Linked DNA regions of Cricetulus griseus. The protein of the gene in region 3 interacts with the protein of the main gene of each other region in a pairwise test. Links are inferred from orthologs where the notes say so. Each region holds a gene or a part of one and is shown on either strand. Other genes may lie near its edges. The genes, in order: Wbp11, Rbm15, Ddx17 and Sf1.

The links.
Region 1: the proteins of Ddx17 (region 3) and Wbp11 interact in a two-hybrid assay, tested with the Homo sapiens proteins (3 studies listed by BioGRID and IntAct). The link is inferred for Cricetulus griseus from reciprocal best matches to the Homo sapiens genes DDX17 and WBP11.
Region 2: the proteins of Ddx17 (region 3) and Rbm15 interact in binary tests that used the Homo sapiens proteins (3 or more experiments, as listed by UniProt). The link is inferred for Cricetulus griseus from reciprocal best matches to the Homo sapiens genes DDX17 and RBM15.
Region 4: the proteins of Ddx17 (region 3) and Sf1 interact in binary tests that used the Homo sapiens proteins (3 or more experiments, as listed by UniProt). The link is inferred for Cricetulus griseus from reciprocal best matches to the Homo sapiens genes DDX17 and SF1.

Annotation. Positions count from the first base shown.
Region 1 is NC_048601.1:12,196,982-12,204,920, forward strand, and holds the start of Wbp11 (WW domain-binding protein 11), read left to right. Parts: upstream 1-3,444; 5' UTR 3,445-3,610; intron 3,611-5,579; 5' UTR 5,580-5,636; coding exon 5,637-5,700; intron 5,701-6,213; coding exon 6,214-6,245; intron 6,246-7,353; coding exon 7,354-7,447; intron 7,448-7,939. Other genes in the region: Smco3 (single-pass membrane and coiled-coil domain-containing protein 3), read left to right, coding at 279-956. UniProt on the Homo sapiens protein: Activates pre-mRNA splicing. May inhibit PP1 phosphatase activity.
Region 2 is NW_023276806.1:49,811,179-49,819,210, reverse strand, and holds the start of Rbm15 (RNA-binding protein 15), read right to left. Parts: upstream 5,369-8,032; 5' UTR 4,460-5,368; coding exon 1,600-4,459; intron 1-1,599. UniProt on the Homo sapiens protein: RNA-binding protein that acts as a key regulator of N6-methyladenosine (m6A) methylation of RNAs, thereby regulating different processes, such as hematopoietic cell homeostasis, alternative splicing of mRNAs and X chromosome inactivation mediated by Xist RNA.
Region 3 is NC_048595.1:376,706,328-376,713,629, forward strand, and holds part of Ddx17 (probable ATP-dependent RNA helicase DDX17), read right to left. Parts: coding exon 7,281-7,302; intron 6,410-7,280; coding exon 6,276-6,409; intron 5,713-6,275; coding exon 5,647-5,712; intron 3,537-5,646; coding exon 3,395-3,536; intron 3,044-3,394; coding exon 2,883-3,043; intron 2,793-2,882; coding exon 2,620-2,792; intron 1,385-2,619; coding exon 1,274-1,384; intron 892-1,273; coding exon 830-891; intron 1-829. UniProt on the Homo sapiens protein: As an RNA helicase, unwinds RNA and alters RNA structures through ATP binding and hydrolysis.
Region 4 is NC_048596.1:52,982,040-52,989,341, reverse strand, and holds part of Sf1 (splicing factor 1), read left to right. Parts: intron 1-571; coding exon 572-647; intron 648-3,516; coding exon 3,517-3,669; intron 3,670-3,852; coding exon 3,853-3,942; intron 3,943-4,398; coding exon 4,399-4,582; intron 4,583-4,673; coding exon 4,674-4,789; intron 4,790-4,891; coding exon 4,892-4,999; intron 5,000-5,769; coding exon 5,770-5,950; intron 5,951-6,209; coding exon 6,210-6,483; coding exon of another isoform or gene 6,484-6,487; intron 6,488-6,768; coding exon 6,769-6,828; intron 6,829-6,929; coding exon 6,930-7,109; intron 7,110-7,302. UniProt on the Homo sapiens protein: Necessary for the ATP-dependent first step of spliceosome assembly. Binds to the intron branch point sequence (BPS) 5'-UACUAAC-3' of the pre-mRNA. May act as transcription repressor.

The DNA.
Region 1 (7,939 bases), on a different chromosome or scaffold from region 3:
TGAGCTGAATTCATCAAGCTCTGGGTTTGGACCCCAGCATCGAATATACCAGGCAGGGGGCACAGGCCTGGAATCACAGCTCATGGGAGGCTGAGGCTGGAGGATCAGAATTCATACCTACTCTGGGCTACGTGAGATCCTGTCTCAAACACGTCAACCCTGATGAGTTCTCAGAGAAAGCGTTTAGCTGTGGCTACTCTGAAGGCCTCCTGAGTAGAGTCTCATACAAGTACTCTGTGACAATTCCCGTTTAATTTTTCAGAAACTGTAGCTGAAATATGGCTCAGAGTGACTTCCTCTACCCAGAAAACCCAAGGAGGCGGCAGGAAGTGAACCGTCTTCACCAGCAGCTCCTGGACTGTTTGTCTGACAGCTTCCAGGTCACCAACAAGCTGACCGGGGTTCTGAACACCCACTTGGGCTGTAGGCTGGCCTTCATTGAAATGAAAAGAGATGGAACTATCAAAGAAAACTGTGACATCATTATCCAAGCCGTGGTAAAAATCCAAAAGGAACTGCAAAAGGTGGACGAGGCACTGAAAGACAAACTAGAGCCAACCCTTTATAGGAAACTTCAGGATATTAAGGAGAGGGAGACGGAGAAGATGGCAATTGTGCAAAAGGTCATTTCTGTCATCCTGGGGGAAGCAACATCTGCCGCCAGTGCGGTGGCTGTTAAACTCCTGGGCTCAAATGTCACAACCGGCATAATGAACAAGCTGGTCACTGTGCTAGCTCACATCGGGACGTCTCTCCTTGGTAGCATTGGAGTTGCTGTGCTTGGTCTTGGCATAGATATAATCTTTCGTGCCATCCTGGGAGCAGTGGAGAGGTCGCAGCTTCAAGCAGCCATCAAAAGTTATGAGAAGCATCTAGTGGAGTTTAAGGCAGCCTCAGAAAGGTACCACCATGCCATCACTGAGGTCACCAGAGCCGTGACGCGCCAGATAAGATGAAGTCATGAACCCACCACGGGCATAGCTCTGTGTCTCCCTCTCCACCTCGATGCTCCTTTGTTTAACTAGTTTCATTGCCATATGCCTCTGATGTGGACAGGGATACAGCCAATGGTTTGGAATGCTCGGCTTCTGTGACCCTCGGTTTTACTGGACCCTCAAGGGATAAGTCTCTGTCTGGGAGTTTTCTTCCCCTGCTGTCGTAACTATGTGGTAGAAAGACATCACAGAGCAGCAGATAGGGAATTATTTCCTTGTTCCCAATCAATGTCCTCAAACATCCTGTATAAAGCAGAGGCCATTCCTATCACCCGTTTCAAACATCGCTTAGGTCTAATGAGACAAACACCTGTGACCTTCCAATGACCTAGAAATACTTACATATTTTTACCACTAGGTAAAATCCAATTGTCTGTAAACTGGAAATGACTGCAAACAACATTTTCTTCAAGAATAAAAGGAGACAATGGATCTGTGAGCTTCTACTAATTACAAAGTGTGAATGGATGGATTTGGGAAAGGATAAAATAATAAAACTTGTTTCTATGATGCAATTGACATTGACCAAATGTCTATCGCTTCAGCAGCAGAACACTCTGGAACATTAAACACACACACAAACACACACACACACACAAGAAATAAACCCCAGATATCCATGCATAAAACATACTAGGGTAAGGAAGAAGACTGTACCTTTTAGGAATTTGTCATTTACCACCCAATTTCAGAAACAGCCAGAGGCTAATGGAGGCCTATGGATACAACTTAATTTCTGTAGACACAGCATTTGTTTTCTAAATCCTTCAACTAACAATTCCCATTGAGCCATTTTTTAGGGTCTACTTTGAAAATTATTATACTGGTTTTTTGTTTGTTTGTTTGGTTTGGTTTGGTTTGGTTTGGTTTTTCGAGACAGGGTTTCTCTGTGGCTTTGGAGGCTGTCCTGGAACGCACTCTTGTAGATCTGGCTGGTCTCGAACTCACAGAGACCCACCTGCCTCTGCCTCCGGAGTGCTGGGATTAAAGACGTGTGCCACCAACGCCCGGCTTAATTATTATACTGCTAATGCTGAGAATGTCCTTGTTATAGTTGCTTTGTTTTTTTGAGTACAAAAAAAAAGTTGTTGAAATAAAATACTCAGTATCTGTCAAAAATCTTACAAGTAGATGAAAAATTTTAACTAGCCACATGACTCTTTCAAATGTACTTTTTTTTTTTTTTTGTAATCGCTGCTTTTATGAATTAGTTTCAACTTCTCACAACTTGGGTCACCTTCAGGGTTTTTCACTATTATTATTATTACTACCTGATTTGTAAGTTTTGAACCATTAGATCTTGCTATTGCTGACACTCACAGAGTAATCAAATTTAAGAAGACACCAGGGATTTTTAATACGACACCCAGGTGTGTGATGGCTCATGCCCGTTAACTTCATCAGTCAAGACAACGAGGCAGAAGGATGGGGAGATGGAGGTCTACTGATGGAATAAGCAAGTCGGGGATTCCTAAGGGGCCTGTCTCAAAATTTAACTTTTTCTTTGGGCCGCAACAAAGCTTAGACTAAGTATGCGACTGATGCCACAGCGTCCGGGGCCACAACGTAAAACATTCTACCCATGGGCAGACGCCTCTACCAATAGCTGTGAAATACCTGATGTCAAAAAATCCCTCTTATAACTTTTGTCTGCGCAGGGTCCTCAGATGAAGCTGAAAAACCACCACGCGCGCGCTTTACGGAGATCTCATAGCCAGTGTCTCTCCTTGAAGGGGGAAAGAGAGGGTGGGGAGGCTCTTAAGGGTCGGGGTGTGAAGGGAGAGGAAGGACGCAGACGACGGGGAAATCATTCCGTGGGTGCAGTGACATCACAAAGGACGAGCAGCCCCGGAGCGGGAGCGTCACGTGCCGCCTTCTCCGGGGACATCTGCGGCGCGCACCCGGTTTCTCTCCCAGGACATTTTTGTTTCCCGTGTGTAGATGACAAATGAGTGACTCTCGCTAGGAAATGACTTTTGTGCTCGGCGCGGCACAGGCTGGGTTTCCGGGAGCGCCGGGCGCTTTAAACTCGGCGCCCGTGGCGTCCATCCGGGAACTTGTCTCCCCGCGGAGGCTTTCCCGAAGGACAGCACCCAGTCACACCCCAGCACACCGCGGGGGACAGAAACCAAGCAACACGCGGCTCCGCCCGGGCGACGCGCCGCTACCTGACGTCTGCGCAGAACGGAAACCGCGTCAGAATTCCGAGCGGGGTAAAGCGATCGGCCAATCAACGGGCACCTTCCCTCTTTGGTTCTCATTGGGCGACACCAGTGTCAATCTACGACGCTTCGGAGTGAGGCGGGAGGGGGCGGGGGCGGGGGAGGGGGTGGCGTTCTTGGCCGACAGACAGCCAATCGGACGTGGGATCGGAGCGGAAGCAACTCTGGCCCCGACGACGCTGTGTCCTCTCGATAGTCCCCGGGCCTGGGCAACGCGGTGAGAGCGTCGGCCGCGGGTGCCGGAAGTGACGCGAGGATGGCGGAGGGGCGCGAGGTTTCAAGATGGCGGTGGCTGGGTGGTTGACCGAGAGGCAGAGGTGAAGGCCCCGCCGCCCAAAGCACGCCGGCACCGCCCGCTACCCGGCCTGGCCGACCCGGGAGCCCCGCAGTGGCGTAAGTGTGCGCGGTCGCGACGCTGCGGCTCCCGCCACGGCCTCCGGGGCCCGCGCAGCCGCTTCAGACCCCAGCGCCGGGGGCCGCGCTCTTCCCCCCGCCGGGCCGGGCCGGGGTCGCGGGAGCCGCGGGCGGGAGGGCTCCGGGGCCGGGGTGCTGCGGCGGCCGACGGGCGCTCGGCCGGGCGCGGCCCGCCCGCTGCGTTGGTCCGCTTCCCGTTGGCGGCGGCCGGCCGCTTGGCTTGACGTGCGGCCGCTCGAGTCGGTATCAACCGTCGCCATGGTTTCGGCGGTTGCGGCGGCGGCGGCCTGCGGGCGAGCGGGCCAGCGGGCGGGCGAGCGGCCCCGGCTCCTGCGCTGTCGGGGGCCCGCGGCCCCGTCCTCTCCCGGGCGCCCCTGCGCTGACGAGAGTCGCGCTTGTAGACCAAGACCGTGCGGTCTCGGAAAAATTCTCAGCGGCTCGCGGCTGCCGTGTTTTCAGTTGTGGGAGGGGGCAAAGAAAAATTAAAAAAAAGGTCAAAAGGTGAACCCGAATATATAAAATAGAAAGCTATAGAAGTCTGTATCCGTGCCTGCTTGCTTGCTTTCTTCCTTCCTTCCTTTCTTCCTTTCTTCTAGTTCTCTATAATCAATGCCCTTCTTTTCCCTTCCTCTCCCCATCATCCTGCCCCTCCTCTTTTCGGATAACGAAACGTTTTTATAGTGAAATAGTCTCCGGGCAGTTGATCCCTTGGTGAGAGAAGCATTAACTAGAAAGAAAAACAAAACAAAACAAACAGAAAAAAAACCCTACGAAGTCTTCACAGAGGAGCCAAGGGAATTACAATTGTGGGAGTCTGTTAAAGTTGTCTCGGGATCTACCTATTCCCTACCTTCAAAGGTGTCTTTTTTAAGAAAGAAAGTCGACTGGTTGGGTGTGCAAAGGGGGAATACCTGTAGCCAAATGTCACATCGTTTCAACGGCTAACATTTCTTTACTGTATTATTGGAAAGGTTAAATTTTAAAGTTAACATTCATCCATTTTGAATAGAAGAACTGATACTAATACAAGCTTTGAAATTATTTTCCTACAGTGACCTGCCACTTTTAGTTACCTTAAAATAAATCAAGAGTCATATGTGTTAGTAAGAAAAGTATGTATGTTAATATTAAGATTGGGAAGTTCTATTCATTTTTTTTTTGCTTGAAAGTCATGAGTCATATTTGACTTGGTATTGAGTCTAAATTAAGTATGTTTAAATTAATTACCTTTTACCATCTGTGGGGTTTTGAATGAACAGTGCCTATGCCAAGGAGAAAAGTAGAGAACATATATTTGTCTTTGAGCCTAGAGTCATTATCACTACTTCTCTTTGACTTCACCTTATATATAAAGGGGGAAGGGTGTAGGAAATGAACTGTTGACTTCTTACACTCCAGGTTTGTATCACATTATTAAAACATTTTCTAGTTGGGTTTTGTTTTGAGATAGTCTTTTATGGCCCAGTCCACATTCCAAGTGCAAACTCCTAGTTGAATTTTTTTTCAGTTGACAGTGCTACATAATCCATAGCAGAGTGTTAAATGTGGAGAGTTCATGTGTCTCGTTGCCTTGACTGTACAGATGTTAGCTTTTCTGTGATGAAGAAAGGTAAAGCCATATTATATGTTCAAAATTAAAGAGCAAGTTCTTTTTTTGTTTTGTTTTGTTTTTTGTTTGTTTGTTTTTTTTCGAGACAAGGTTTCTCTGTGTAGCTTTGGAGCCTATCCTGGCCTTTGCTCTGGAAACCAAGCTGGCTTCGAACTCACAGAGATCCACCTGCCTCTGCCTCTCAAGTGCTGGGATTAAAGGCATGTGCCACCAACGTCCGGCAAAGAACAAGTTCTTACAAAATTAATAATCAGAGGGGTATTTCCAGAAATTGATGGGAATTCTAAAAAGGAAGACATGTTAAACATACAGGAAAACTGAGTTCTTTTCTTTTTCCAGGTTTCGTTTTTTTGTTTTGTTTCTTTAATGAAGAAGTAAATCATATAAATTGTCAACATGGGACGGAGATCAACATCCTCCACCAAGAGTGGGAAGTTTATGAACCCCACAGACCAAGCTCGTAAGTGCCATTAGTGTGAAATGATGACGTTGAAGAGTTAAAAACTGCAAAGAATATTTCCCCGAGGCTTAAGCAAGTTCAGCATTGGTAGAAGGGAGTTGTGTGAAGTCATGTTGAATTCTTAAAATTAACTCACATGACTAAAATGTTGAGAGTGTACATCAGTTAAAACCATGTTCTTGTCAAGCTTTGTTGGCTTGCAGGATAAAATTGGATTGTTTTTCTTTTTGTGTTGGAATTTTTAAACAAATGAGTTTTAAGCGCTAGTTTGGTATTTGAGAATCTCTTTTTCTCATTGGTTCAGTTATTTCTGTGAAAAGAAACATTTTAGCATCTGGAGTTCTTAGGGTTAGAAGTGCTGCAGTTGTGCAGTTGTCTGCAGGTCGAAGCCACCGATGCCAGTGCATATCCAGGTGTTGCATAGGGGAGCCTCAGAAGAAAAAAGTGTGTGCTGTCTTGTGGTAATGTTAATGTTGAAGATTTGAGGTATATGGTCTCTTTCCCTCTCTTTAGGAAAGGAAGCCCGGAAAAGAGAATTGAAGAAGGTATGAATTCAGACACATTCTGTATATTGATTGAGATTCATGAATGATAATAACATGTAAATTATATGCTAGAAAAGATGCTTTATACTTCTCATGAAAACCAGACAGTTTACTATGTTTAAAAACTGATATGACTGATAAAACTTTGGACATTCCATTCATAGTGCTTGTTTGACACTGTTTATGTAATTCTCCTGCCTCATAAGTTTAAAAAAAAAAAAAAAAGAATTCGTTGGGGGCCGGAGTAATGGCTCAGTGGATAGCTTCACGTACTGCTCTTGCAGAGGATCTGAGAGTTCCATCCCCGGCATCCATGTTGGGTGGCTCACAGCCATCTGTTCCTCCATCTCCCAGGAATCCAACACCCTATTCTGATCTCCACAAGAACTCATAAGCACATGCCTACACATTCACACAAACACGCCCATATATAAAATTATATTTAAAAATGCCTTTTAGAAATAATTCTTAAGATGATTGTGGTAGCACACTCCTGTAATCTCAGCACTTGGGATGTGGAGATCAGAGACAAGAGTATCAGGAGTTCAAGGCCAGCCTGGGCTACATCAGACCCTGTCTTGAGAAAGTAATTATTTTTACCATGTACCAAAATGTAGCTGCTTTGTTAAAAGCTATTGAATGAATGCCAATAAATGTGTTGGTGGATATCTTTGTGTATCTAATTAGCTATTGAATTTTGACAGAGTAATTAGAGGGGTAAACATTTGGTATCACTCTTCAATGCATTCAGGGCTTTTATAATCTCTGGTATGCTCTCGAGTCTTTCAAAAATATCCCTATCCAGCATTGTATTTTTTTTTTTTTTAATTTAACAGCAGCCCTTTGTTTTTTGTTTTTAAAAAAGTTGTTCCTGTGGTAGTTGCTAACAGTCTAACTGGGTTGAAAGAAATACTTTCTGTGAAAGCATACCTTTTTAGCAATGTCCACACATTGTTGAGAACAAGAAATCTCATAACTGTTCCTGGTGGTTTAAACATGATTTGAAACCAAAGGAAAATGTGAAATGATTTAGATTCTTGAGGCAAATTGAAGTAATAATGTCCTGAGCATCCAGCCTCTTAGTAGTCTTCTCTTTTGTTTTTCTAAGAACAAAAAACAACGAATGATGGTCCGAGCTGCGGTTTTGAAGATGAAAGATCCCAAACAGATTATCCGGGACATGGAGAAATTGGATGAAATGGGTAAGAGTATATGAAAAGGCCAGATTTATTAACAGCTATAATAGTGTGGTCCCCAATGGCAAGCAGCATAGGCCTAAGAAAACCGAGCAACCTGATGGCATAGGACACGACATTTTGTTGTAATGTTTTGGAAATAAAGTGAAGAGATAAGATCCATTGCAAGCTGGAGATCACATGTCCTAGAAGAGAGAAGCCATCATTCAGTTGGGATTACTTAATGTTATTAGGCAACAAAGGCCGAGTCTGGCCAGCTCACTTTATAATTGTTCAGATTTAATTATATTTTCCCTTTGCCGTAATAAGTTAGCAGAATAAAAAAGGACATGCACTCAAATTCTTAGTCAGTAGGAGTAGTGCAATAATATATCTTCTAGATTTGAGTAAATCATCAAGTTATAGGAAGATTTAGGGAAAGAATTTAATTGAACTGGTACTTGAAGAAAAAGGAGAAAATGTCTTAATCATCGGGGCCCTAGTTCCATTTATAAAAAT
Region 2 (8,032 bases), on a different chromosome or scaffold from region 3:
CTTTGATAACAGAAAGAAAACAGTTGGGCTCTGCAAGGCTTTGAGTAAGTCACTTTCACAGAATATAAAACAACCATGATCCAAAAACTCAAGTTCCTAATCATAACTAAATACCAAACCCTACTTGAAATCCTCAGTACTTAAATTGGGGAAGAAAATCATATTTAATAATGGACTTAGACATCACAAATAGTGGCAGAAGAGCACATAAAACAAACAATACTAAGTAGCAGAAGCCCTCATTAAGTACCAGATGCCATGTATCCTCAGCTTTTTATTTTGGGTGGGGTGGGTGAGTTCTGAGCAGGTGTTTAATTTTTTTAAACACCTGAGAAATCAAATAAAAAAGGATTTTCTAAGCCTGGCATTGGTGGTGCATCCCTTTAATCCCAGCACTCGGGAGGCAGAGGCAGGCGGATCTCTGTGAGTTCAAGGCCAGCCTGGTCTCCAGAGCGAGTGCCAGGATAGGCTCCAAGCTACACAGAGAAACCCTATCTCGAAAAACAAACAAACAAACAAACAAACAAAAAACAAAAAAAAGAAAAAAAGAAAAAGAAAAAGGGGTTTCTAACACTGACACTTCAAACCTCTATAAGGCCAGAGAGCAGTCAAAATACTAGAATACTAGACATTAAATTTCAAAGATATTCAAAACACTGTCAACAATGTAATGCCACTACTCTGGTTTAAATATGAAGATAAAATATGAAGGAATTTTCTTCAAATATATCAAGGGCATTTTACAATAACCTTAAAAAAAATCTGTAATTCAGATGTTTGATTAATGACCATGGGAGTGGGGGGGGAGTTACTTATAAGCCTGCAGACAGCTGTTCTTTCTATTACTGGAATCAGAAATTTCTTAAATGGATACAAAAAACTTAATTTTTGGTTTTGAAGTATACACAATTAAAACTGTATTTGCTGTACCCCTCAAAGTCAATAAAAACACCACTGTGCACCTAACTTACCAAAAACTTCTCATTTTAAAAGCACTTACTCATTTCTTGCAGACCAGCTAAAGATGTAAATGGTTTATAACACAAGCCTCAATTTTTACCAATTACAGCTACATACACAGGATACAAAACTCAAAAACTAATGACATAAATGTTAAAGCAAGCAAACTTTCTGGGAATAAGAAAAATACTCAAATACCTGATTAAAATAATTGAACTTTGGAATACCTGATTAATGCTTCTAGTATAGAAACTATCTATGCACCAATCACACTATTTTTTCAGTACAAAAGGCTCTTTCCTCCAAATTATGATTCTAAAAGTTGTAGGTTTTATCATTTTGAGGATTTTTTTTTAAACTCAAGAGACTGAAAAAAAAAATACCAGAAGAAAAAGAAAAGTAATTCCTAATTAAAGCAAATCCATCCTCTTGCTACCTTCAGGGCATCCCTTTCACTTAAAATAATAGCTAAATCGCCCCAATATCTATTTTAAGGAGGTTTACAAAAATATATATATAAAAAAACCAACTAAACTAATTGAAAGAAATTTATCTGATGCTGTATCCCATTACATATCACAAAACAAGGAACCATGTCAAAATAGTAAATACAAGTTACACATGGACTTTAGGACGCACCACGAACAATGATCATGACCAGGTAATCTTCTTCAGATTTGGCCAGTGCCTTGGCAGGGGAATCCAGGAACTGCTGAGAGAACTCACAAGGTGGGAAGGCATGAAGAACCCCTGTGTTCTCCTTGTCTTTGTTGCCCCCCACAGGGAGGCTGATCACCCCAGCTGCCTGCTTTTGCTTTAAATAGGACACAAGGTTCCTAAGTGGCCTCTGTGTAGAGGTGGCAGTGTCTGATGTAGCTGACGAAGAGGAGGATCGGCTGTCAGAACTTCCAGGTACAGCCAGAAGTATGGCATAACCATTGGGCCCTGCCACTTTGATGCGACGAGTTACTTCATCCAACTTGGGCTGGTCCAAACGGAGACGCTGAGTGATCTTGAGCTGGGCTACTTTGCCTCCAGTTGAACCCTCCACAAGTAGACTGCTAGCAACTTGGAGGTCACCCTGCAATAGATGCATGTTGGAAGGGAAGTTGCTGTTCTTCAGTAGAAGCATGCCCTGCCAAGCCAAACAGAGTTTGGGAGAGGATGCTGCCACAGGAGCTGTCCCTCCATCCTGTTTCTGGGAAGGAGCTTTCTGCTTTGATGATGACGCGCTGGCACTGGGTGCATTGCCATCAGAACGTTCTTCCTTTTTCAGAGGGTTTTTTCCCTCTGTGGGAGCAGCTGTCCGGTGCTTCCTATCCCGTTCAGCTGATGCAGAGTTTTTACGGTCTCGCTTGTCACTCTGGCTCTTCTCCAAACTGCCCCGTCTATCTCTGATTGGAGAGGGCCTTTCCAAAAGAAGACGAGAAGATCGATCGTTGTCACTGTTGTAGCGATCTCTGTTACTGCTCAGTTCTGGACTTCGGTCAGGAGAAGGAGTGCAATGACGTTTTCGTGGCCGGTCACTCTCAGGTGATCTATCCAGATGCCGTCCTCCACTTTCTTCAGGCAGCCTTCTCTTCCTTGGCTGGTCCCTGCTGCTAGGCAAATCCCGATCACCTCTGTCCCTGTCCAATGACCAGCCATCCCTCCTTCGATCCAAGCTATCCAGTGGCTCATAAGCAGTCACAGCACTAGCTGCAGCACGAGCACTGCGTTCTCGAACTGGTGGTGGGGGTGGCACCCAATCAGAATCAGTATAAAGGTCCCGATCACGATCTCTGTATAGTAAGGGTGGCGTCCTATCCCGAGCACTCCTCAAAGGGTCAGGCGCTCGATGCCCAAAAGTATCTGTCACTAGTTCATAATGAGTCAAGGGCAGAGGCTGAAGATACTGCTGCTGGTAACGATGCTCTGTGTCTGCAAAGTCTACTCTAAGGCGACGATCTGGGCCACCGAGTGGGAATCCACGCATATGGGTCCAGGCAGCATGAGCTGCATCCAAGCTTTCATACTGTATATATGCCCAACTATCACCTTTTCGGTAGTCAATGGTTCGTATGGTGCCAAATCGATCAAATTCTCGTGCCAGGGCAGCAAGAGGCACCCAAGGTCCCAGGCCACCCACCCAAAGTCGGGTGGTGGGTGTGGCTTTACCATAACCAATCTTGATTGGATTCCGAATTATAATTTTGCCAGACATTGCTAGTTTGGCCCTGTGAGACATGTCTAGGTTCTCAAATTTGAGAAAACCATAGGTACTGGTCTGTCCACGAGAAGGCCTCTTAATGTCCACTTCTGTGATGACTCCGAAACGATCAAAAGCCCTTCTTAGATCATTTTCTGTCACAGTGATGTCTAAGTTGCCCAAGAAAAGTGTCCGGTTAGCACGCTGATCATCCTCGGGCGAGATCTCATCCACTTCTCGGAAAGGAGCAGCACCTGCTCCAGCTCCCACCCTTGGCTCAAGACTATAAGCTGGGCGCACTCGGTCATAGAACGGGTAGTCTCGTTCTCTTTCCAGCTCTCGGGGCAATGGTGGTGGGGGTGGAGGCGGCAGGCGGCCAAGAGCCAACTGCTGCAACCGGTAGTCTCTGTATCCCAAAGCAGCACCGCCAGGGGAAAGTGATCTCTGACCTCCACCTCCTCCAGGGGCGTGCCTGTGGCTACCGACAGAGGTTCCGACCACGCTGGACGACGGAGGGTAAGTATCTTTGTCTAACGGGGAGCGGCTGCGGCGCCGGCTCACGTACACGGCTTCTATCTTCAGAGGCCGGTCATAGAGCACCAGGCGGCCTCTGGCATGCTTGGCCGCCCTCGCGTCCTCTGGCCTCCGGAAGTTCACAAAGGCTACCCGCTCATCCCCGCTGCCAGAACCCGAGAGGTGACTGATCTTGACACTTACATCACCGAAGCGTTTGAACTCGTGAAACAGGCCGTCCTCCACCGCCTCGTCGCTCAGCTGGGACCCCAACTCGCTTATCTTCAGGGTCTTGTACTCCACTCCGTCCCCGCCGCCAGGCGCTGAGGAGGCGGCCCCAGAGGAACGTGACTCCCCGCCTCCACCCCGGGAGCTGCTGCGCGACTCGCCCCCGCCTGAGGAATTTTTGGTGCTCGGGGAGCTGTAACTATGCAGGCGGCTGCTGGAGCTGCCCCCACCGGTGTCATACTCGCGGCTGCCACCTCGGCTGCTGGACTTATCCAGGTGAAGGCTCCGCCGCGACCCGCCGCTGTCCGTCTTCCCGCTGCTGCTCCCATTGCTGCCGCCAGAGCCCCCTAACTTCTTGCTCCGCTCCCCACGAGAACTGGAGTCCTCACCGCCGCGGGAGCGTTTGGGCTTCACCGGCGAGCGCTCCTTTCCTTTCATTGTTGAGGGTCGCCGGAGGTCGTCTCTGCGGAGCTGACTAACCCGCCACCCCGCGCTCGTTTCACACAGCGGACTCGCACGCCGCCATCTTGGACTCCGCCGCGGCAAAGGCTCCCGCCCCGCAGACCTCATTGGTCAATTAATTCACTCTTCAGCCTTCTCATTGGAAAAACTATTTGTCCGTCTTTACATCTCCCCGCGCTCCGGGAAGGCGCCCGCCTCGACGCTGTTATTGGGTTCCCAACGCCCTAATCCGCGTACCTCATTGGTTATATTCGTTGTCTATCTTAACGGTTCCTCGCGCCAGCCGTAGCTCCGCCCCTCGCACTTCACGGTCACCTGACCCGAAGCCTCGAGTCGTTGATTGGACAAAAAGTCTGCCCTGTAACGGTACTTCTAGCACGGCGAAAGCAGTGGTCCCACCTCCTCTTTCCTCTCATTGGTCCGTGGCCACGTCCTTTAAACCACTCCTTGGGAAGTACGGACTTCGGTTCTGGCGTTTTTTTCTGAAAACTTGGCTCTCCCGATCTCGCGAGACACAAAGAGCTCGCTCGCCCGCTCGCTCCCTTTCGACCCCAGTCTTCCAACTTCTCCGGCGGCCGGAGGAAGTTTAAATCTGATTGGACGTTGGCGAGGAAGCTGATAGGGTAACAGCGCTGTCCATCACTTACTTAAAGGAGTAGGCCCACAAACCGAGGCGTCTGAAGGTGAAAGACTAGAACACGCGCTTGCCGTGCGACGTCACTTAGCTGTCGCGAGACGGTGACAGCGAGTCGGGCCCGCCTCCCCGCGCTTTCGGCGTTCTCTTAAACATTTGTTAGGTCCTACGGCGTACTTGGCTGTGCTTCGGTCCTTCGAGTCTGGAACCCGCAGGCTCCGCACGGTCGGTGCTGTCTGGGCCGGACAGTGGGCCGGGTGGTCCCTCCGGCTGCTGGCCCTCGATCCCCTTAGGCAGCTGTCCCGGGAAGTCCAGCCGACACCATCTTAGTTAGCAGCCTGGAAAAGCCCCACCCCCGTGCGCGAGAAAGCGCCTGCCCGGGTCTGTGCAGCTGGCCGGGGCGGCGAGTTCAGGGTTCACTGAGCCTCGGGTCACGCTGACGCCCTGGGCGGTACCGAGTCTCTGCCCGCCCACCCGCGGACATAGGAAACGGCGCCCCGGAGACGTGGCCGCCCCAGGGCTCGCGGTGACCTGTGTTCACAGCCTCCAGGCCTACTGGTCCGACCTGCGGGCCACTGCAGACCTTCCCTGGCGCCTGTTTTAGGTTGTGAATCCCTGTAGGGTTTGCATTTGTAAAAGCCATGGAACGTGATATCGCTGTGCTTACCTTTAATATGTAACGCTTCTCGCTGTGCGGACACTTGACACTTTCTCTGGTTTCTTGTGCCGCAGCACTCCCGATTAATTCCTACTAGGATCCAGGAACACGGGCACTTTGCTACCTCCCTAGGCCCACCTCTTTAAGTCTTTTAATCATGATCCACTTCTCAACTCCCGGTACACCATCCAGGTACCTTTATTGTGTGTTGGGTAAATTTGTGCAATACTGTTGGATCATGAGACTAGACGGGTAGTCTGTTGCACTGGCATTTGCCTTCTGGTGAAGAGAAATAGGCTTCCTGCAGTCTCCCCAAGAACATTCCGGCCAAAATTTCTTGATCACATCAAAGGGATTTGAAAGAAGAAGCCCAATCAATATGTTAACTATAAACCTCCAAATACTGTAATGCACAGATATACTTGTATTAAAAATAACTCTTGTGGGGCATTGTGGAATAGCTGTAATCCCAGCTCATTAGCCTGAAAACCTCAAAACCACTCACACACAAAAGAAGTCTGGAGACTTGGGCACCATGTATGAAGCTCTAGATTCAAGCCCCAGTACTTGGGGGAAAAAATGGGTTTTAAAGTCTTATTTTTTTCCAGGCAAGGTGGCTCATACCTTTAACCCCAGCACTCAGGAGGTAGAGGCAGATGGATGGGTCTCTCTGTTGAAGGCCACCTTATCTACAAAGCGAGTTCCAGCTAGGGCTGTTACACAGAGAAACCCTCCCTTCTCAGAAAAACAGAAAAAAAACAAAATGACAACAACAAAAGACTATTTTTTTTAGCAGGACATGATGTACTCATTTAATCCCAGCACTTGAAAGGCAGGCACAGGAAGATGTCTGTGAGTTCAAGGCCAGTTTAGTCTACATAGTGAGTTCTAGATCAACTAGGACTATATATTGAGACCACACACGTGCGTGCTTGTATGTATGTGTGTGTTTGCATGTATGCTAGTATTCTGGTGTCCAGAGAAGCGAAAAGAGAGTGACAGATCCCCGGAAGATCCCAGAATTGTGAGTCAACCTGAGCCCTGGGGAACAAACTGCAAGTAATTTTAAAACAGCAAGTAATTTTAACCCCTGGGCCATCTCTCCAGGCCGGCAAAAATAATTTTTTAAAAGGCTGTTAACATAAAATACCACCAGTCAGAGAAAAATGTGTATGATAAACTACCAATTGTGTTTTTTAACATTGTATGTGTATCATATACATATGCTTGTATTTTTTTTTCTTTTTGGTTTTTCCAGACAGGGTTTCTCTGTGTAGCTTTGGAGCCTATCCTGGCGCACTTGCTCTGGAGACCAGGCTGGCCTCGAACTCACAGAGATCCACCTGCCTCTGCCTCTCGAGTGCTGGGAATTAAAGGCGTGCGCCACCAATGCCCGGCTATATGCTTGTATTTTTAATTGATAGTTACAGAGATTGCTCTCAGAGACAGAGCTGAGGATCTGGAATTAGCAAGGGACTTTTGATATTATAAATGAAAATTTTCCTTGTATAATTTTGGTTTAAAAATATACAGTAGTGTTAGATCCCCGGAAAACTCAGGTATCCGGGGCTTCGGTCACCCCAATCACCAGGCAGATCCGAGAGCATGCTGCAAACTGCATGAGGCTTTATTGTAATTTAATGAGCTAACCCCATGTTAGCTGGGGTCTTTTACCCACCCGCCATGGCGGATGGCTAGAAAAAGACAGCTCGGCTTGCCCTGTGTTGATTGGTCAACTGGTTGTTATGGCCCATAGGCCCTCCCAGGGTGGTTGCTATGCTTTGTGGGTCATTGCTGTGCACTTGTCCGTAAAGCACACACGCAGGGTCGTAAAGCATAGCGCCACCAGCTAACTTCTGATTGATTCCTTGTCACAAGGAAGGCATCTGACCTCTAAGTGACCAAGGCAAGTTATGGCAAGCATATATTCGGCTGTTATGGCTGCCGAAAGGGAAGCTAGTCCCTTCAGTAGTAGAATATATTTTGAAGACCATCCTATCTGCTGAGCACACAGTCTCAACAATTGTAAGATCATGTCAATCGTTTTCTTTAAATCTACAATCCTATTCCTATTCTTCCCTGCTCCATTATTTTGTTCCATGCATACTTGATACAGTTTCTGCCTCAGATGTAGAATCCATCATTCCTACATAATGAAAAAGCTTTTCAGAGGTGTGCTAATCTATCTCAAGATTATATGCATACTACAAAAAGGGAATTGAAGTTAAGCCTTTGCCTGATTACTGTAATAGCCAATCCAGAAAAACTGAGAAGTGACTTTTTTTTTTTTGGCTTTTTTTTTTTTTTTTTTGAGACAGGGTTTCTCTGTGGCTTTGGAGGCTGTCCTGGAACTAGCTCTTGTAGACAAGGCTGGTCTCGAACTCACAGA
Region 3 (7,302 bases):
TAATTAAGGAGAAAAAGTATTTTAAGTATTTTTTAAAACGGTGTCTGTGCATGCTGAGTGTAAATGCTCAGAGGCACTGAATCCCCTTGTAGATAGAATTATAGTGGTTGTGAGCCACTCATGGGTGATGTGTCCTCCGAAAGAACAGTATGTATTCTTAATGCTAGGCCATCTCTTCAGCCCCTTTTACTTGAAAATACTTATTTTTATTTATATAACTATGAACTTTAAAGAACTCTGGAGATGTACTGAAAATGCCCAGGGTTCAATTAACTAAAATTAGGCTAGGTGAACTTTGATCTACAAATACAATCTAGTATAATACTTTTGCAAACAAAACTGCTTGGGGAACACAGCCAGGCCAGTTCTGTCTATGACCACTTGTTTTTGTGTAGAAATCACCCAACCCATTATTTGATGAACAAAGCCCCAGATAATCTATTATCTGGTTCTTTATAAACAGGGGGTGGGCTGGGCAGTGGTGGCACATGCCTTTAATCCCAGCAGTTGGGAGGCAAAGGCAGGCAGATATCTGTGAGTTTAGACCAGCCTGGTCTACAGAGCCAGTGCCAAAATAGGGTTCAAAGCTACACAGAGAAACCCTGCTACACACACACACACACACACACACACACACACACACACACACACACACACACACACAGAGGGAGGACAAATAGGTGTCAAAAAACTATTGTGCTAGGCACAGAAGAATACATTTTTAATCCTAGCAACATCTAGGAGGCAGAGACAGATGGATTTCTGTGAGTTCAAGGGCAGCCTGATCTATAGCAAGATCCTATCTCAAAATGCTTTGTCTTATTCTTACCATTAAGTACCCAATCTCTTTCTGGTTGACTCTTGTCTCCATGGATACACATAGCTGGCCAACTATCAGAAGAAAATTACATATTAGAAATCTTTACAAAAGTCTTAGTACTCAATTTTGATCAAGTTCTTTAAGCTACATAATAGTTATACATACACATCAGGCTAAAATACCATACATACATACATGTTCTAAACCATTGCTACAACCCTTTAATACAGTTCCTGTGGTGACCCCCCAGCATAAAATTATTTCATTGATACTCCATTAACTAACTTTGCTACTGTTATGAATCATAATGTAAATATCTGGTATGAAGGATATCTTATATGCAACCACTGTGTGAAAGGGTTGTCTGACACTTCCCCTGGCCCACACACATAAAGATCATGACCTATAGGTTGAGAAACACTTGACATAAAGCTACCTATGTGCTGTACTCACCCATCTCTGCGCATCCTTCGAGTGAGGTCATCACAGCGTCTCTTTGTCTCCACAAATATTATAGTCTTATTTTCTTTTTCTGCCATGATTTCCTCCATCAGTTGGATCAATCTGAAAAGACCAAACAATGCAGCCTCACACAGTAAAAGTCCTTCCTGTACATCAAACACAGATGCTATTAACTCCCAAAGTTTAGATTGTGGTGGAACATGCCTATAATACCAGTATCACTTGGGAGGCTGAAGCAGAATGGAGAATTCAAGAGGGAACCTCAGCTACATAACAAGAACCTTCTCTTCCAAAAGAAGATCTCAAATCTAACTTTGTTTTTCAAGGGGTCATAGTGTAGCCCTAGCTGTCCTGGAACTCACTCTGTAGATCAGGCTGGCCTCTGGGATTAATTAAAGGTCTGCACCACCACACCCAGCCTGGTCACAGATACTTTAATCTACATCTAGTATTTTTTAAGAAAAAAATAATTCAGTAACTGAAGGGATTAATGTTTTTGCTGCTCTTACAGAGGGGACGGACACTGGCTGTGGACATGCACTATGGGTGGCTCACAACCATCTATAATTCTAGCCCCAGGGGATCCCAATTCTTTTCTTGCCTTTATGAGCATGGCGCAGGAACACAAACAAAAACTGTGGTTACAATATTTGACCAGTATGCATGATGCCCTGGGTTGAATCCCCAACAACACATAAAGTGTGGTGGCATATGCCAGCCAGCACATGGGAGGCAGCTCTAAGCCATCTTGTCACACCTCGAGCTCCAGGACTGCCAAAGATACATACACGTTTCACACACATAAATAAAATCAAATTCCAACTAATCCACACTAGATTCAAGCAAATCTGATTTGATACTATTCCTATCTCAAAAATCAGACAAGGAGGCAATGAGAAGTAAACCTTAAACCTGCCTTAAAACTATACAGCTGGCATTTAAAAAGCCTGGATTCAACTCCAAGGATCCAAGATCATTGCGCATTTAACTACAATGCGCCAATGAATGACACACAAAGGATGTGTTCAACCTAAAAAAACCCTGGCATTTTAGCTCTGGTATAGTACAGCTTGTAATTCTAGCAATTTAGAGGCTGAGAAGGAGGACCATGAGTTTGAGGGCAACCTTAGGATATCTAGTGCAGCCCTGTCTCAAAAATAATTCAAACTGCCAGACGTTAGTGGCACATGCCTTTAGTCCTACCACTCAGGAGGCAGACGCAGGCGAATCCCTGTGAGCTTGAGGCCAGCCTGGTTTACAAAACTACACAGAGAAACCCTGTCTCGAAAAACCATTAAAAAAACAAACAAACAAGATAATGAAGTATTCTTTCATACTTGTGATCTTTTTCACTTTCCATACAGACATCCACAATCTGCAAGATGTTGTGGTTGGCACTCAACTCCAGATTGCCCACATTGATCTGGGTGTAATCACGCAGGAAGTCCTCTGCAAGCTGCCTTACTTCCTTTGGCCAGGTTGCACTCCACATCAGTGTCTGCCGGTCAGGCTATCAGGAAATGAAGGTTTTCCTTTATATTAAGGAACTATATGACAGGCAAAAAGGTAAAAATATTAATGAAGTATCAGCTTTACGAACCCTGATTTGGTCAACAATTTTACGGATCTGGGGCTCAAAGCCCATATCAAGCATTCGGTCAGCTTCATCCAACACAAGGTAAGTACACCTGCGAAGGTTTGTCTTTCCTGACTCCAGAAAATCTATTAGGCGCCCAGGAGTGGCTATGCAAATCTCAACACCTGGAAAAAAAAATTAAAGATATAGCCCATGAAGAACCCTTTCTTATAAACTATCCAAACCTCAGTAAACAGAAACTAAGACCCAACAGCCCTGGTAGCTGCATCCACTGTCACAGCAGCTGTTAAACCTACAGTATCTGAAGAGCATGACGTAAGGAGACTTCACAAGAGTAGGTTAAGGATCTCCAGCCACCAGCTGCTCTCCACAAAGTAGCTAACAGAACTGCATCCCAAGAATTTCTACACTACTGAAAATACTGAATTTCCTTACAAGAACCCATTTTGCTCAATTTTATTTACAAGAATTGGCAAAGAATAAAAACAATTTTTTTTTTTTTTTTTTTTTTTTACCTCTCTCCAAGTCTCGAATCTGGGGACCTTTAGGAGCACCTCCATAAATGCATGTACTCTTCAACCTAGAACACTTTCCATAATCATCAGCCACCTGCTGCACCTGCTGAGCAAGTTCTCTAGTAGGAGCCAGCACTAAACACTGAAACAAAGTGGGGGGGAAGCAAATAAACTTGAGACAACCACTCCAAGTTTAACAAAAAACAAACAAACAAAACCAAAAAAACAAAAACCCCAATAACCCTAAGAACCAAAAGGTAGTCTAATTCCCCCTTATTGTCCAATAAAGAGGATCTTATATACTCTCTAGCCTTTAGCTATGTAGCTGAGGAAGACCTTGAAGTTCCTTCTGACCCTCCTGTTTCTACCTAACTAGTACAGAATTAAAGACATGCACTATCACACTTAGTTTTGTATTACCTACTTTTAACCTTACAAGATGAACAATCAGCATAAAACATATCCATGTGTCGCTGGGCGGTGGTGGCCTACGCCTTTAATCCCAGCACTCGGGAGGCAGAGGCAGGTGGATCTCTGCTGTCAGATTGAGACCAGCCTGGTTTACAAAGCAAATTCAGAGACATTCAGGGCTGTTACAGAGAAACACTGTGTGTGTGGGGCGACGGCTCAGGAATGACACAAGACAATTCATGCAACAAAATTATAAATACCAGCAGGGAATACAGATAAAAGTTAAGCTTGGAGAGATGCCTCAATAGTTAAGAACATTGGCTGCTCTCTACTGTCTGTGACTCCAGTTCTGGAGGATCTTACACTCTCACTCACAGACATACATGCAGGCAAAACACAATGCACATAAAATTAAACGAAGGAAAAAAAAAAAAAAAAAAAGGCCAGGCGGTGGTGGTGGCACATGCCTTTACTCCACTGAGTTCAAGGCTAGCCTGGTCTACAGAGTTCCAGGACTGGCTCTAAAGCTAGACAGTGAAACACTGTCTTGAACCCGCCCCCCCAAAGGCTGGAGACATGGCTCATGGGTTAAGAGCACACTGGCAAGTAAGGATGCTTGCATCAGACAGGGACATGGTGGTATGCACCTATAATCCCAGCACAGAAGGGCAGAGAAAGGATGATCTCTGAGCCTATTCTACATAAAAAAAAAAAAAAAGAAGCTTGCCCAAGTTTGAAAACTTGAACTGAGACCCACATGATGGGAAGACTTGACCCTAACAAGTTGACCCCCTGACTTGCACAGAATATGGTGGCATGTACCTGCTCCCTACAGAAAAATAACCAAAACTAATAAAAATGAGCAACCCAGCATTGTGTTTGCAGCTGTGGATATAGGCCAGTGGTTAAATACTTACCTATACCATGCATCAGGCCCTAAGTTCAACCCCCAGTACAAAAAACAAACCCTAAAACAAAGGCTTGTACTTGAATTGTTGCAAAGATTGGTTCAAAGGCTAGGTACAAGGAAGCAGAGTTTCTTAGCACACACAAGGGCACAAGTTAACTACCCAGAATCACAAACAGGAAAGACGAAGAATGCCTCAAATTCACACTGTCATTTCATGGCTGTGTAACTTTGGGTAAGTTATTTAATTCCAAGTAAGATGGCCAGTACCAAGCAGGGCAGTGGTGGTACATGCCCAATTTAATCCCTGCACTTGGGAGGCAGAGGCAGAGTTTGAGACCCAGCCTGGTCTACAAAAGCGAGTTCCAGGAAACCCTGCCTCAAAAAGCAAAAAACAAAACAACAACAACAAAAAAAGGATGGGCTAGAGCCACTTCTACATACGGAGAAAAGGGTTAAGAATTAAATTGGGGCAGGGGCTGGAGAGATGATTCAGTGGTTAAGAGCACTGGCCCTATATCCAGAGTACTTAGGTTCAATTCCTAACAACCACACTGTATATAACAACTGTCTGTAACTCCACTTCCAGGGGATTAAATGCCCTCTTCTGGTCTCCATGGCACCAAACACTCCCCAACCCCCGGGGAAAACACCCATAAACGTTTTTTTTTTTGTTTTTTGAAGATAGGGTTTCTCTGCGCAGCTTTGGAGTCTATCCTGGCACTTGCTCTGGAGACCAGGCTGGCTTTGAACTCACAGAGATCTGCCTGCCTCTGCCTCCCAAGTGCTGGGATTAAAGGCATGCACCACCAACACCCGGCTCCATAATTTTTTTTTTAAAAAAGTAATTAAATTGGGTTTTAGGCACAGTGCCTAAAACAACTTATCATTCAATGTAGTTATTTTTAAAAATTATAAATTGTAGCACACTTACAATTGGACCATCTCCTCTTTCCAAGTATGGCTGGTGGTTTATATGAACAATCGCAGGCAGCAAATACTGAGGAGGAACAAGAATCAAAAATGTCATAAAAACCCAAGCCATTATCGTAACGATTCTAATTTAAATCAGTAATTAACAATGCCCTAATAGAAAGTGAGAAAACTAGAACATATTACCACATTCAAGTACAATGTAAACATACAGCTAAAATACTGAACATATAGTATTTTATTTTTTGGCCTTCTTGGGACAGTGTCTAACTATGTAGCTCTGGCTACCCTGGAACTTCACTGCATAGATCAAACTGGCTTCCAACTCAAAGGTCCATCTGCCTGTCTCTGCCTCCCAAGTACAGTCATTAAAGGTGTGCCCCACCATGCCCAGCTTTCACACAGTATTTTAACTGTGAGTCTAAGAACTGAGAAAATGTGAGCTGGGTATGATAGCTTACAACTTTAATCCCAGCCCTTGGGAGGCAGTAGGGACAGGCAGTTCTCTGGTTGGAGCTACCCGGTGAAACCCTATGGGGGGATGGGGGCGGGCAACATGGGACCAGAGAAAATGTAAGAAAACTAGGCTAATAAAGTAAGTTACTACAATGTCAAAGACTTGGTACCTACCGCCAATGTCTTCCCAGAACCAGTCTGTGCAATGCCAACCATATCCCGGCCACTAAGAGCCAAAGGAAATCCCTGGCACTGAATGGGAGTTGGTTCTGTAAAATGCTGATCCATCAGCACATCCATCACATACTCTGAAAAAAAGTGAATGCATTATTACTTTTACTAGCAAAACTAAGGACACTCATGAAGTCTTAAAAGTAGCAGTTAAGACTAGCAGTGGTGACACATACCTTTGGTCTTGAAATCCAAAAAAGTGGCAGTTACTTAATTTAAGACTTACTTGAATTTATCAAAAACTCAATGTCTTGTCAGTTCACTACTACCTTTGAGAACTACCATCCTAATTTAGCTAACAGCACAGGCCCAAGAGTCACTTACTGTTCCCAAAGTTCATACTATATCATAGAAGCAGTATTTGGCTGCTGTGTAAAACACCAAGGGCAAAATACCAGTGTACGTATTGGCATTAAAAGAAATGCAGAAACTGGGTAGTGGTGAAGCACACCAGCATTTGGGAGGCAGAGACAGGTGATCTCTTTTGAGTTCAAAGCCAGAGCTGTTACACAGAGAAACCCTGTCTCAAAAACAAAACAAAACAAGCCCAAAGCTGAGATGGCTCAGCTGTCAATAGTTCTTGCAGAATGAGTTTGTGAAGATCGGAGGAGAGCTTGGTGGAGCGGGCTTTCTCCTTTCTTGTTTATATGGGTTCCAAAGTCAGGACTTTCACCAATTGAGCCATTCTCATTCACACACACCCCACCCCCACCCCATTGGTTTCTCTGTGTAGCCCTGGATGTCCTGGAACTCACTCTGTAGACCAGGCTGGCCTCAAACTCAGGAGATCTGCCTGCTAAGTGCTAGAATTAAAGGTGTGAGCAATCACCGTCTGTCTACTACTATCTTTCCTTTATAAAAGGTTTCTTTTTGTGTTTCAACAAAATCCCAAGCCTTTCAAAACCTTCAAGCAACCTACCACTTAATGTAGGATTAAAGAACACTTACGTGGGAAATTAGCATGATGGAA
Region 4 (7,302 bases), on a different chromosome or scaffold from region 3:
GTATGAATTTGTAAAATGTTGAATTGGTTATTAAATGCTTGCTTAAAGAGAGTTTCAAACCTGGTCTTAATGAAAATGGTCTTTGTTCAAATGCTATTTTTTTGTTGTCCCATATTGAGTAGTTTTGGGCTGTGTTTAATATTTATTGAAGAAATAGAAACTCAAGTCTTGCCCTGAGTTTGGTGGGAACCAGGTACTGATGATAACTTAAATGGTGTTGGTTCAGGGTGCCAGTTGTAAGCAAGTGTTGGTGGGGAAGGGAAGAGGTGAATATTTACCTCCTGATAATTGCAATTGTAAGCTGTAGTGAACAGTCTTAACTGCTAACCCCTCTTCCAACAAACTGTTTGCTTCCTTAAGTGATAACCATTTTGAAGTGAAAATTAACTGTAGATGTAAATGGACTCCTGCTGCTAGGTGGTTGGGGGTTTTTGCCTCAGTGTGTCACTGATCAGTCATCCCTTTCAAAGTCTCCGAGTTCTTCATGCTTGTTATTGAGATTTGAGATGTTTTTTGGTAACATTGTCTTTTTTCCATCCTTTTTTTTCTTTCCTAACCTGGTTTCTTCCAGTGCAACTACAGATAGAAGACCTGACTCGTAAACTGCGCACAGGAGACCTGGGCATCCCCCCTAACCCTGAGGACAGGTTGGGAAACAGTTTTAACCAGCTGACAGTAACGCTTTTACCTTTTTCTCAATATGTTTTTACTGGTGGCAACATATTGTGTCAGTTCAATAAAATCCTAGTTAAGACGACTGGTATTCTGACCAGGGTTTAGTAAAATGTATGCTCAGTCAACAGTTAGAAAAGTTGGAATGGTATTTAATGGGAGAATAAGTTAAAGGAAAATGGACAACTGGTTTCTAATTGGTAAGCATGTAGATTGTAACCTGAAAATTTACCCACCCCTAGGGACAGAGAGGGGTGGCCATTAACCTGCCTTTTCACTGGCTGCTTTGGCTGAAAGCACAGGGGGAAGTTTTTCTCATGGTATATTATGCAGGGATTTGAGAGTATTTTTAACCATCACTGAATTTGAGCAGGCCAAGCTTGTTGAAGTCTTACCTGCTTGTGGTTTTGAGATTGTTTTAAAATCAGGAGATTTCTAACCAATTTCCTTCATTGCCAATTAATTTTCAGCCTTGGCCATTGCCTGCGGGTTTTGGGAGGGAAAGGCAAGCAACCAACCCCTAAATTACTTTTTCCTTTTTTAAAGGGAATGTGGGCCTCAAACAGCTGTGGTCATGCCATTTCAGTTTATAATTTCTCTCGCCTCTGAAAAGTTAAAGTTCATGTGAGAGAGGAACTTTTTAAGTGGAATTGTATTGGCTGATAGACCTTTGAACAGCTAATGTCTGGTCACTTAATTGACAGTGAACTTCCACTGAAATCCTTCTTAGTGCATGTAGTATAGTTGAAAAGATTGCTTTGAAAGTGTTTCTGGCTTTTGTTATCCTGGTAATGGCTTTAGAAGTTGCACACAGTTCTGCTGCCCCTTGCCATGAAACAAATGAACTTAATGATGTCTCCATATTCATCTTGTGCCTATCAAGTTTGTTATTTTTTTAACAAGTAGATTTTGATTGGAAAGTTGTATTTTATATTTATTTTTTGATTTGAAGATTTTTATTTTTTAATTTTTTAAAGATTTACATTGTAGGTTATAGACCACAACTGTTTAGTGCCTTTTTGGCCTTTTCCCCTTTAATGGTATGTCTACAGGTTACCAGGCAATTCCTCCAAAGGTTGAGTTTTTAACAAACCTTGTTTGCTTCCTGGAGAACTGGGATTAGAGTGCAGTTGATGTCTCTGATGCCTCTTCTAGGTGAAGAAGTCCGGCCAGTCTAACCTCTAGATTGCTAGCTTTTGCTTTTCACTTCCACAGTTTGGGAAGAGGTTAAATGGTTATGAAGTTTAAGCCTTTAAAAGGCCAGTTTGGTTCTGGTACAATTTGGTATTTAGCCAGAAACATTTCGATTCTAGATAGCAAATGGGGTGGGCATGCTAGAAATGAGTAAAACCAGAGCAGGGATTTTCCTCCTTGTATATATGCTCAATTTTGAAAGAGGCCCTAATGCCTGATTGCTTTTGCTTTTAAGCCCAGGTTGGAGGGAAATACATGAGTTTCTTACCTTACTAAGATGATTTCTTAAGAAGTTGTATTTCAAAATTAAGCCACTTTCTGCTATTTTGATGTTGCTTAACTTGCACAATTAAAATGTTTTAAGATCTGTTGTAGATTTAAATGTGTAAGATGATAGTCTAATGAGCTGGGGATATTTGCTTGTGTTCACTATGGTTGGATTGTGCTAACAGTTCATACAGATGCTAGAAACGGAGGTGTCATTTAGCCGTCATTAGCCATGAACAAACCTGACCTTTTATTCCATCGTGTGTGTAACCTGGTATGACATGGTTCCCTTTAGGCTGAAGACAGTGGGAGCAGCCGAATTCAGTTCTTGCTCTCCAACTAGGCACAATTCTCTCAACTAAACCAAGGGTGTAGGAGTCGGGACTACTTTTCAGGATGTTTTTTAAAATAACCTGATCCACATGGTCTCTTCCCTTCTTGCAGCTGCTACTAAATTTTCATACAGAGTATCAAGCTATGGTCCTTTTTGTAATCTTAACTCAGAATTCTAGGAGTTTAACTTCTCTTTTTTGTTACCGCAAAATCTAGCTGTGGTAAACTGACCATTTTATCATTACATATATATATATATATATAATATTTTTTATTTTTATTTTTTACTTGTAGCGTCAGCATTTTACTCCTTAAAAATGAGAGAGAAATTTCTGCTTTCTGGACTTGTAAACTCTGATGGAGAATTGTAGATCCCCCTTGCTGTTGGCAGGTTCAGACCCTAGACAAGTGTTTGACCAAATCTGCATTTGCAGCCTCTTGCAGAAGCTGCCTTAGCACTTTTAACGGTTTTCTCTACCCAGACTCCCCACCTCGAACAGCCAGCCAGGCCATTGAAGGAAAAGCAGAGACGAAGCCTTGCACCATTTCTCTCCATTGTGGGGGCTAAGTAGCTGTAATAGCTTGAGTCCCAGCTGCTTTGGGTGAACGAGCTTGTGTTCACTATGTGGCAGGGGTACAGATGCTCTTCCTAATAAGACAGTTCACCTATACTCATGTTTCTGTGGTTCATCAAGTTGGGTTATAAATTTTTTCAAATGAAAGGATCATTTGGCAAGAAGCCTCCAGAGGATGATACTGTTCTTGCCAGTAAAGGTCCAAAGGTTTCCCTTTAATGGACCCTTCCTCAGTCAATTTTAGAAGTGAAGGAATTTTTCCTTTTCTCACATATACCCTACATTGCTTAATGTTAAGTCAGATTCCATCTCCCCCATTCCACACGATCTTGAATAGCACACGTTATGGTCGGTTCCTCCGAAGAGTTTTGTTAGGATCTGAGAGGCAGAGGGCTGGGGAGACTTGTTATAGTCCATACATATGGGAGCAAGGGGAATTGGGGGCAGAGCAGTAATGGGGATCTGTCTCCCACAGGTCCCCTTCCCCTGAGCCAATCTACAACAGTGAGGGGAAGCGGCTTAATACTCGAGAGTTCCGTACACGCAAAAAGCTTGAAGAGGAGCGACACACCCTCATCACAGAGATGGTCGCCCTCAACCCAGACTTTAAACCACCTGCAGATTACAAGTAAGCAGAGTCACAGGTGGTTTGGGACAAGGGCACATTCGGATCATACGTGATCTGCTGGGACGATTCTGGCTTACTACTTACCTTTTGGCCATATTATCCTTAATTCTCACATGGTATATTCTTGATTAATTGTGTACCACCTCCCAGAAATTGAAATGGTGATGGTCTTTTCTTTCTCAGGCCTCCAGCAACACGTGTGAGCGATAAAGTAATGATTCCCCAAGATGAGTATCCAGAAATCAATTTTGTGGGTCTCTTAATTGGGCCCAGGTGAGTAATTACTAGTCCATGGCACTCATTGACTTATCTTCAAGGTTTGAGATTTTTATTGTGTTTGGGTTTTGGTGTGATGTTTTGGCTGAATTATGCCTTAAATTTGATCTACACACACACACACACACACACACCTCCATTTTCTGTGGTGAAGTAAAATCCTGAAATGCTGACCTTAATGTGGTATTCTTTTTTGGTTTTTGGAGGCTGTCCTGGAACTAGCTCTTGTAGACCAGGCTGGTCTCTAACTCATAGAGATCACCTGCCTCTGCCTCCTGAGTGCTGAGATTAAAAGCATGCGTCACGAACACCCAGCTTTAATGTGGAGTCCTTGGTGGGGAAATCTTGGTGCTCTGCATTTTGCAGTTTGCTACCAATGACTACTCAGCCCAGTGTTTTTAATCTGAAATAAGAATTTGCACTGAATGTCTAACACTCTTTTCTGCTTTTCAGAGGGAACACCCTGAAGAACATTGAGAAGGAATGCAATGCCAAGATCATGATACGGGGGAAAGGATCTGTGAAAGAAGGGAAAGTTGGGCGCAAAGATGGTCAGATGTTGCCCGGAGAGGATGAACCTCTTCATGCTCTGGTCACTGCCAATACAATGGAGAATGTCAAAAAGGCAGTAGAACAGGTGTGTGGTGAGCCCAGGAGGAGGCTTCTTGCTGGAAACCTAGGTGATGGCCCCAGGCGCTTGACAACTAACTGCTGGTGTTTCTTAATAGATCAGAAACATCCTGAAGCAGGGTATTGAGACCCCAGAAGACCAGAATGATCTACGGAAGATGCAGCTTCGAGAGTTGGCTCGCTTGAATGGCACTCTACGGGAAGATGATAACAGGTCAGTGATAATGTTGAGAAGACTTCCTAGAAATCTCAAGAACATTTTGAAGTGGAAAGGTGGTCTCTACAGGTCTTTGAATTGATCTCTCTACCTCAACAGGATCTTAAGACCTTGGCAGAGCTCAGAAACACGCAGCATTACCAATACTACTGTGTGTACCAAGTGTGGAGGGGCCGGCCATATTGCTTCCGATTGCAAATTTCAGAGGTGAGATCTGGCTGCTGTTGAAATGGCTCCCTAGCAGCCCAGTGGTCTTCAGGATTCTCCTTTCCATACTGGCTGTGGTTAGTCTTACTAAAGCAGCATCCTTTCTGTGGATGTGGCTGGGTGGTGTGAATTTTAAACTTAAGGGTCTTGAGTAGAAGAAACTTGTAGAGCCTCCTGTTGTCTTGTCCAGAAGCTTACACTCTGGCTATGTATCTGTTGGGTACAATATTAATGAGTGTTCACTGCTTAAGATTTGTTAAGACCAGTGGGTTTTATTTCCATATGGCCCTTTTTAGGGGGAGATGGATATAGTTTGTTTTTCTAGGTCTTGCATAAAAATTCCTTTTCTCTCAAACAGGGAAGATAGAGGTAGAATTTTTGTATTTTTTAGACTGGGTTTTTCTTATGCATGTATGTCTATACTGTAGTGGTTGTGGAGATTAGAAGAGATTTTTAGATCCCTTACTTAGATCTGAAGTTAGGGGCAGTTGTGAGCTGCCATGTAGGTATTGGAAATTGAACCCAGGTTCTTTGCAATAGCAGTAAGTGCTCTTAACCCATCTCTCCAGCCCATGGAGGTAGGGTTTGGTAAAACATGAGAGGTGAGGGTCTGGAATGGTGGTTGGTCACTTCTAACCTAGGGCCTGGACTGTGGCTGACAGTGGAGAACCATTTCCAGTGAAGGGCTAGAAAAGAGGGCAACATCCTTGATTGAAATAGAGCTTTCTTGATTATTTTCTCCTTTCTTTGTGTTTCCAACCCTACCTTAGGCCTGGCGACCCTCAGTCAGCCCAGGATAAAGCACGAATGGATAAAGAATATTTGTCTCTTATGGCTGAGCTAGGGGAAGCTCCTGTCCCTGCATCTGTGGGCTCCACCTCTGGACCTGCCACCACACCCCTGGCCAGTGCACCAAGACCTGCTGCTCCTGCCAGCAACCCACCACCACCGGTGAGCCCTGGGACAATTCTCTGGTCTAGCTCCCCCATTCTCTTCTGCAAAGAGACTAGGAGCTTTGGCCAAAGATCTGGGGTAAAGCTTAGAGGTGAATGTAGCTGGCAACATTGTTCTTCTGGGATGTCAGGCCTTTGTGGGGTCTCACTGTGGGAGAATCCTGTGCTTGTGTTCTGGTCTCGGGACATAGTCAGAAGAACAATGTTGCCACCAGGGGGAGCAGGCATGGACATTGGCAGGAAATGCTCTCATGTAGTCTCTTATGTCTACAACGCAGAGTCGCCCACCCTGGATGAATTCTGGTCCTTCAGAGAATCGGCCCTACCATGGCATGCATGGAGGTGGTCCTGGTGGGCCTGGAGGTGGGCCCCACAGCTTCCCACACCCATTACCCAGCCTGACAGGTGGGCATGGTGGACATCCCATGCAGCACAACCCAAATGGACCACCACCACCTTGGATGCAGCCACCACCACCACCGATGAACCAGGGCCCCCACCCACCCGGACACCATGGCCCTCCTCCAATGGGTAAGTAAGTGTCAGACCAGAAACCTTGGGGTTTGTGGGGGATGGATAGGCTCATACCAAGTGACTCTGAGCTGTAAGCAATGCTGAATGGCTAGCCAGTGCTCTGAATCATGCTGAGGCCTCGGCTTATAGAGTACCTTCTATGTGGGAAGGCTTACACATTGTTACAGCAGAACTTTTGGGAGGTTAAAGACTCAAAGCTTTGTAACTGAGAAAGCTATTGGGGGTGTCTTGCCTGGCCAGTTCAAATGTCCTGCTAAGTCCCTGCTCTTTCCTTCCATCAAGATCAGTACCTGGGAAGTACGCCTGTGGGCTCTGGGGTCTATCGCCTGCATCAAGGAAAAGGTAATGCTATTTACTCGGGATTTCTGTCTAAGGCTAAAAGTAAATGGAGGCTCTAGCCTGGGTCTCCAATTCTCTAAAGCCTAACTCATGTTTGCCTACAGGTATGATGCCGCCACCGCCTATGGGCATGATGCCGCCGCCTCCGCCACCTCCCAGTGGGCAGCCCCCGCCTCCTCCCTCTGGTCCTCTTCCTCCATGGCAGCAGCAGCAGCAGCAGCCTCCACCACCCCCTCCGCCCAGCAGCAGTATGGCTTCCAGCACCCCCTTGCCATGGCAGCAAAGTGAGTGGAATATTTTGGGCTTTTGGGGGTGGGTGGGATGTGGGCTGGGGCTGAGAGGAAAAAAAAACCTAATATCTTACATGGGCTGGAGACACCTTGGGTGAAGAGACTATGGTCTCAGCAAAGGCAGTGGGGTGGAAAGCCAGGCTACTTGGCCCAAAGGAATGTCTTGGGGAGGAGAGCTGATGTTTGG